2 linked regions of the Saccharomyces cerevisiae S288C genome follow. Changing the gene in region 1 together with any one later gene gives a genetic interaction. Each region holds a gene or a part of one and is shown in the gene's direction. Other genes may lie near its edges. The genes, in order: HEL2 and ENO2.

Evidence for each region.
Region 2: mutations in HEL2 (region 1) and ENO2 together harm fitness more than expected from each alone (negative genetic interaction), as found in Saccharomyces cerevisiae (2 studies listed by BioGRID).

The regions. Positions count from the first base shown.
Region 1 is NC_001136.10:999,455-1,004,092, reverse strand, and holds HEL2 (E3 ubiquitin-protein ligase HEL2), read left to right. Parts: upstream 1-2,069; coding exon 2,070-3,989; downstream 3,990-4,638. Other genes in the region: tryptophan--tRNA ligase MSW1, read right to left, coding at 1-89; iron-sulfur cluster assembly protein CIA1, read left to right, coding at 591-1,583; PEX10 (ubiquitin-protein ligase peroxin 10), read right to left, coding at 4,216-4,638. UniProt on the Saccharomyces cerevisiae protein: E3 ubiquitin-protein ligase that plays a key role in the ribosome quality control (RQC), a pathway that takes place when a ribosome has stalled during translation, leading to degradation of nascent peptide chains.
Region 2 is NC_001140.6:449,497-453,465, forward strand, and holds ENO2 (phosphopyruvate hydratase ENO2), read left to right. Parts: upstream 1-1,830; coding exon 1,831-3,144; downstream 3,145-3,969. Other genes in the region: gamma-tubulin-complex subunit SPC97, read left to right, coding at 1-1,310; YHR173C (uncharacterized protein), read right to left, coding at 1,319-1,657; CTR2 (low-affinity Cu transporter), read left to right, coding at 3,376-3,945.

The DNA.
Region 1 (4,638 bases):
GCTTCGGAATTCAGCTTAAAATCGGCACGTTGCACTGTGCTTATCCACCTTTTACTGATTAACTTCAGAACCGCCTGCTTATTCGACATCTTCCTTGTAAAAGATAGTGTAAATATTTATCAAAACCTGATTCACTCCTTAGTAACGTAAAACCTTTGAGATGGTGCAGGTAGCCTGTAATAAATCATAATACCCTTTTCTACTTTCTCGAAGCCGATTTTATCACGTGAAAAACAAAAAATACCTTTGCACTTCTATCTTGTTTTGTGTTGCCTTTATAAGGAGAAAAAGATCTTCAAGAAAAGGTCATACTAATTGTAGAAACGTTTGAATTTAAGGAATCTGACTCTGATGTGCATAGCAGTGTTACTACTATTTATTTTCTTGAAAAATACCATCGTGATTGCCTTCAAATAGGTCATCTAAAACTTTCTGCTCTCAGCGGGCCGTGTTTTGAAAAATCTCACATCGAATATTGTATCGTCTTTGCCTCATTAATTGCGAATAAATACTAGATTTGTAGATATCACAAATCAAAATCGGGCTATACCACGACATTTTAATAGTTCAATTGGTTTACTTATTTGGTAATGGCGTCTATCAATCTGATTAAGTCTTTGAAACTTTACAAGGAAAAGATATGGTCTTTTGACTTTTCTCAAGGTATATTAGCAACAGGTTCAACTGATCGAAAAATTAAGCTAGTTAGCGTGAAATATGACGATTTTACGTTAATTGATGTGCTAGATGAGACTGCTCATAAAAAGGCGATTCGATCTGTGGCGTGGAGACCTCACACTTCGCTGTTAGCGGCTGGCTCTTTTGATTCCACTGTATCTATCTGGGCTAAGGAAGAATCTGCTGACAGAACTTTCGAGATGGACCTGCTAGCTATTATCGAAGGTCACGAAAATGAAGTAAAAGGTGTAGCGTGGTCGAATGATGGATATTACCTAGCAACCTGTTCCAGAGATAAAAGCGTGTGGATATGGGAAACAGATGAAAGTGGCGAGGAATATGAGTGTATTAGTGTTTTGCAAGAACATTCACAAGACGTTAAACATGTTATATGGCATCCATCTGAAGCATTACTGGCTTCAAGTTCTTATGATGACACCGTCAGGATATGGAAAGACTATGACGATGACTGGGAATGTGTTGCTGTCTTAAATGGCCATGAAGGAACTGTTTGGTCTTCTGATTTTGACAAGACTGAGGGCGTGTTTAGACTGTGCAGTGGAAGCGACGATTCCACTGTACGGGTATGGAAATACATGGGTGACGACGAGGATGATCAACAAGAATGGGTTTGTGAAGCTATTCTCCCGGATGTACACAAAAGACAGGTATACAATGTTGCATGGGGCTTTAATGGCCTCATTGCTAGTGTAGGAGCGGATGGAGTACTAGCGGTCTATGAAGAAGTAGACGGAGAATGGAAAGTTTTTGCTAAACGTGCATTATGTCATGGAGTTTATGAAATCAACGTTGTGAAGTGGTTGGAGTTAAATGGTAAAACTATACTTGCAACAGGCGGTGACGACGGGATCGTAAATTTCTGGTCTCTAGAAAAAGCAGCGTAGATGTAGAAGCAAGAGTACAATTCAGGAACTCATATTAACACAGTGATCGATCTGAATTCTAAAAATAAACTTAATGACGATTTTTCTACCTAGTTACATAAACCTTTGTATCACTATAACGCAATTCTGTCATGTGTGACGGAGTGACCTCGTTATACATATCCCTGCATTAAAAGCATGCGGTAAAAACTGAAATTTAAAAATGAAAAAAAAAAAAATTAGATATTCGGAAGACTTGTAATTAAGCATTATCTCGAATAAAGAAAGGTTACACTGAAAGTTTCATACTCGCGGTCACTCTTAATAATAGCTATATTTTCTGATTTTCTCTTAAGATTTTGAAAAGGGCATCTGAACGACTGCCCACTCAGCCATATTCAACAAATCGTCGAGCGCATACCTAGCTGAAAAAGATCCATAAAGTGCATTTTGATACAGTCTCTTTCGTCGAAAAAATAGTGGCTATACTTCTTTTCAAGAATTAGGATGAGCGAATCAGTGAAAGAAAACGTTACTCCGACACGTAACTTCCGTCGTACTCAAGGGCCCCAAAATAATACAAAACCTCACAACGACAGGAAGAATTTCAGAAGAAAGCAAAAGAAAAATAACCTTTCTGCTGAACCCAACCTCACCACTTCAAGCGCAGATGATACTGATGAAGAAAATGAATTATGTGTAATTTGTGCGCGCAAGTTAACATACGTATCTCTAACACCATGCCATCATAAGACATGCCATATCTGTGGTTTCAGACAACGAGCTTTGTACAACAAGAAAAGCTGTTTGATTTGCAGAACGGAGAATGAAGAAGTCATGTTTACCGATCGCATAGATGGTGATATTTCAGATAAATATAACTTTTGCGAAAAAAATGAAAAATATGGAATAAATTTCACTAGCGAAGAGGTTGCTACCGAAACACTAAATCTTTTAAAATTTTTTTGTCCCCTATCGAAGGATGAACAAGTTTGTGACTTTGGTAGTTTCAAGAAATATAATGAACACTTGAAATCTGAACATAACAGAATGATCTGTTTAATATGTGCAACCCATAAGCATGCATTCCCTTGTGAGCTTGAAATATTCACCCAAAATCAATTACGCAACCATCAAACTAAGGGTAATTCAGAAGGATTCAAAGGCCACCCTATGTGTGCCTTCTGTTCCGGAAAACGATTTTATTCAGACGACGAATTGTACATTCACATGAGAAATCAGCATGAAAAGTGCCATATTTGTGATAAGATGAACCCCGCTTCTCCTCAATACTTTAAGGATTATAATCAGCTTTTTGACCACTTTAAACATTCGCATTACGTTTGCACCGTCCAAACTTGCTTAGATAACAAGTTTGTCGTATTTAAAGACGAGTTGGAGTTACAAGCCCACATTTTGCAGGAGCATGGTAATATCCTGAAGGGAAAGCCAAAGTTTTTCCAGTCAGAACTTTCTACTTTTATCTCGGCTCCATCTAGAGTGATCAGGGAAAGAGATGATTACGACCTTCCATCTATATCTTCCCTACCGGGTTCATCATCCGGCTCTAGAACTGATGTGAGATCTGCTAGTTCTCCCGAGGAAAGTAGACTAAGATTGGCAGAAAGAGCAAAATACTATCTGGAAAATTCCAAAGAAGACTTCAATAAGTTTTCTTCTTATAACGAAGATTATTCTAAAGGTCGCTTAAGTGCTGAAAAATTATTGGAATCATATAAATTGTTATTCACAAAACCAAATGCGGATGTATATTTATTGATTCATAACTTAGCTGAAACCTTTCCCAAAAACTCCTCCAAATACAATAATCTGAACGCCATATATGAACAAAGAGAGCAAACCCTTGCACGACAAACTTCACTACCTTCTTTATCTAGTGATTCTTCCCTTTCAATGTCAATAGGCAGGGGCCATTGGGGTGGAACAAACGATGGGGGCAGCGCTGGTGCAGCATTAGGCGTTAGGAATATCAAAAATCTTCCAACCCTGAAAAGTCCTTCAGCGTCGTATGATCCCTTTGCAACCACCGTAAAAAAAAACACTCTGAGACCCGTGCAAAACATTAAAAGAACTACACCTCAATCAGTTAGTTATCGAACTTCCACTAATACAGTCGCCTTCTCTCCAACCTATTTGGAAAGTAAAAAGGGTTCCTCTTCTACTTCTCTAAATAATAGCAAAGATAAATTGAAAAGTCTCAACCTACCTCAACTACCTCCACCAAAGCCAAAGGTGCAAATTCCAGGTCTGAACAGACCCCAAATTGCTGATCCTAAGCAGTGGGGTAAAAAGTCAAGCACACAAGATACTAACGTGCACGATAATTTGAGGGAATTGAACACAACTAGTGGAGGAAATAAAAAGAAAGGCAAACAAAAGCAGCTGTTATTCCACATTGGTGTATAGTTGGAAATATATTTCTAACCTGTAACTGACAATAGCATTAGAGAAATGAAAGTCTTAAATAAAATTCCGATAAAGAAAAACTTATTTAATTAATTAATATAATTACAAGACTAAAAAGCATTATTTCCCCTTCGCGTTTTACTTCTCCTGCTCAGACGTCTGCGTTATTTCTGAAAAAGGCCTGTGGACAATGCTAAAAGAGTAGTCAAATTATTGATTAGTTCCTCTATTGCCGCAGGACCAGAATTTCCTGTGGTTGACAGTGTTGTCTGCACAAGGGGCATTCTGGCCTCTCTTTACACCAGCTCATAAGACAACTCCAACAAAATAGATGTCCACATGGCGCGCAGCTAGGATCACTCATGTTCATGAGACATAGGATGCATTTTCTCGAGGCTTCTGGAATAAATGGCAATTGGTTTTTATCTGACAAATTTATATGAGTCAGCTGCGATTCCTTCGGTATGCCTTCTATAGATTCATGTTCTGAACGCTCCTGTAGACCAACAGACGACCTAGTAATTGAATCATTGGTCCTTTTTCTCCCATAAATCCAGGACCCGAGCGTAGAGGTTAGGACAGGGTACCATTTCATAACATTTTGAGCTAATAGGATATAACCTAATACTTTGTACTTTTGTGAGCCCTC
Region 2 (3,969 bases), on another chromosome or scaffold:
CTAATCTTGAACTTTACGTGGATAAATGTTACAGCAGAGCCAATGAAATATTTTTAAAGCTATTTTTTCAAGGTTACGATTTGATCAATGTATTAAAACATTTGCAACAAATTTTTCTTGGGTATCAATCTGGTCATAATGTTTTAAAGTTTCTAACAAAAAATATGGGTGAGTTGACCAAACACTACAGGAATGATAATAATGCAAACTATGACAAGCTGCTACAAAATTTTGAGTTAGAGAGACAATCCGAAAATCCAAACAACCTGATGAGGCAACTCCTGATGATACAGTTCGATACAGAAACACTTCCACAAGTCTTATCGCACTACCTCCAAATTTATCCAGAAGTACCTGAGAATAACTCAGCAAATGACGACAGCGACCCATTGATGCACGCGAATAATTTCAAGAATATGAATGCCATTCTTTTTGATGAATTAAGCAAAGAACGAACGGGAGCCTACCATGGATCCAATCTAGAACTATATACTCCAAAAAGCGCAATTTATCATTTAAAATTTGACATCAACATACCTTATCCATTGAATATTATTATTAGTAGGACATGCATGATAAAATACCAAATAATCCTGCGCTACCAACTAGTTTTACAATACCACTCAAGGCTTTTGGATGAGACTTGGATGGACTTAAACAAAACACCCAGCTGGAAATACAGAGGCTATTCGCACACTGTGAAGAGGAGGATAGTAAGGGCAACGAGAGTGCTGCATGCTAAGATGAACCACTTCATTAAAACCATCATGGAATATTTCAACCAAAACGTAATTGATAAAGAGGTATACTCATTAGAAAAGTGCTACAGAAATCCTACTCTTGCCGTTGCCATCCAAAATGAGCTAGAAGGTGGATTAACAAATATAATGACAAATCGTTGCTTGTCTGACTTGATTCCACTACAGTTACAAATATTTGACATTGTATATAAGTTTTGCAAGTTCATCAAATCTATGAGAGCAAAATTATGTCAACTGGACCCCGTACTATATGAGAAACACAAAAGCGGGATGATGAAAACACTAAACGAAGGCTATCGTACAAACAATGGCGGTCAGGAAGATGTTGGTTACCAAGAAGATGCCGCCCTGGAATTAATTCAGAAGCTGATTGAATACATTAGCAACGCGTCCAGCATTTTTCGGAAGTGTCTCATAAACTTTACTCAAGAGTTAAGTACTGAAAAATTCGACTTTTATGATAGTTCAAGTGTCGACGCTGCGGGTATAGAAAGGGTTCTTTACTCTATAGTACCTCCTCGCTCAGCATCTGCTTCTTCCCAAAGATGAACGCGGCGTTATGTCACTAACGACGTGCACCAACTTGCGGAAAGTGGAATCCCGTTCCAAAACTGGCATCCACTAATTGATACATCTACACACCGCACGCCTTTTTTCTGAAGCCCACTTTCGTGGACTTTGCCATATGCAAAATTCATGAAGTGTGATACCAAGTCAGCATACACCTCACTAGGGTAGTTTCTTTGGTTGTATTGATCATTTGGTTCATCGTGGTTCATTAATTTTTTTTCTCCATTGCTTTCTGGCTTTGATCTTACTATCATTTGGATTTTTGTCGAAGGTTGTAGAATTGTATGTGACAAGTGGCACCAAGCATATATAAAAAAAAAAAGCATTATCTTCCTACCAGAGTTGATTGTTAAAAACGTATTTATAGCAAACGCAATTGTAATTAATTCTTATTTTGTATCTTTTCTTCCCTTGTCTCAATCTTTTATTTTTATTTTATTTTTCTTTTCTTAGTTTCTTTCATAACACCAAGCAACTAATACTATAACATACAATAATAATGGCTGTCTCTAAAGTTTACGCTAGATCCGTCTACGACTCCCGTGGTAACCCAACCGTCGAAGTCGAATTAACCACCGAAAAGGGTGTTTTCAGATCCATTGTTCCATCTGGTGCCTCCACCGGTGTCCACGAAGCTTTGGAAATGAGAGATGAAGACAAATCCAAGTGGATGGGTAAGGGTGTTATGAACGCTGTCAACAACGTCAACAACGTCATTGCTGCTGCTTTCGTCAAGGCCAACCTAGATGTTAAGGACCAAAAGGCCGTCGATGACTTCTTGTTGTCTTTGGATGGTACCGCCAACAAGTCCAAGTTGGGTGCTAACGCTATCTTGGGTGTCTCCATGGCCGCTGCTAGAGCCGCTGCTGCTGAAAAGAACGTCCCATTGTACCAACATTTGGCTGACTTGTCTAAGTCCAAGACCTCTCCATACGTTTTGCCAGTTCCATTCTTGAACGTTTTGAACGGTGGTTCCCACGCTGGTGGTGCTTTGGCTTTGCAAGAATTCATGATTGCTCCAACTGGTGCTAAGACCTTCGCTGAAGCCATGAGAATTGGTTCCGAAGTTTACCACAACTTGAAGTCTTTGACCAAGAAGAGATACGGTGCTTCTGCCGGTAACGTCGGTGACGAAGGTGGTGTTGCTCCAAACATTCAAACCGCTGAAGAAGCTTTGGACTTGATTGTTGACGCTATCAAGGCTGCTGGTCACGACGGTAAGGTCAAGATCGGTTTGGACTGTGCTTCCTCTGAATTCTTCAAGGACGGTAAGTACGACTTGGACTTCAAGAACCCAGAATCTGACAAATCCAAGTGGTTGACTGGTGTCGAATTAGCTGACATGTACCACTCCTTGATGAAGAGATACCCAATTGTCTCCATCGAAGATCCATTTGCTGAAGATGACTGGGAAGCTTGGTCTCACTTCTTCAAGACCGCTGGTATCCAAATTGTTGCTGATGACTTGACTGTCACCAACCCAGCTAGAATTGCTACCGCCATCGAAAAGAAGGCTGCTGACGCTTTGTTGTTGAAGGTTAACCAAATCGGTACCTTGTCTGAATCCATCAAGGCTGCTCAAGACTCTTTCGCTGCCAACTGGGGTGTTATGGTTTCCCACAGATCTGGTGAAACTGAAGACACTTTCATTGCTGACTTGGTTGTCGGTTTGAGAACTGGTCAAATCAAGACTGGTGCTCCAGCTAGATCCGAAAGATTGGCTAAGTTGAACCAATTGTTGAGAATCGAAGAAGAATTGGGTGACAAGGCTGTCTACGCCGGTGAAAACTTCCACCACGGTGACAAGTTGTAAAGTGCTTTTAACTAAGAATTATTAGTCTTTTCTGCTTATTTTTTCATCATAGTTTAGAACACTTTATATTAACGAATAGTTTATGAATCTATTTAGGTTTAAAAATTGATACAGTTTTATAAGTTACTTTTTCAAAGACTCGTGCTGTCTATTGCATAATGCACTGGAAGGGGAAAAAAAAGGTGCACACGCGTGGCTTTTTCTTGAATTTGCAGTTTGAAAAATAACTACATGGATGATAAGAAAACATGGAGTACAGTCACTTTGAGAACCTTCAATCAGCTGGTAACGTCTTCGTTAATTGGATACTCAAAAAAGATGGATAGCATGAATCACAAGATGGAAGGAAATGCGGGCCACGACCACAGTGATATGCATATGGGAGATGGAGATGATACCTGTTCGATGAATATGCTATTTTCGTGGTCATACAAGAATACGTGTGTCGTCTTTGAATGGTGGCATATCAAGACCCTGCCTGGACTGATTTTAAGTTGTTTAGCAATTTTTGGTCTAGCCTACCTCTATGAGTACTTAAAGTACTGTGTCCATAAGAGACAATTATCCCAGAGAGTATTGTTACCAAATAGATCTCTGACCAAGATCAACCAAGCCGACAAAGTGTCCAATAGTATTCTATATGGTTTGCAAGTGGGATTCTCATTCATGCTCATGCTTGTATTCATGACTTATAATGGTTGGTTAATGTTAGCTGTCGTGTGTGGGGCAATATGGGGTAATTACAGCTGGTGTACTTCGTATAGTCCTGAGATAGATGACAGCTCCCTCGCCTGCCATTAAGATGGTGACAAATATTACAAATTT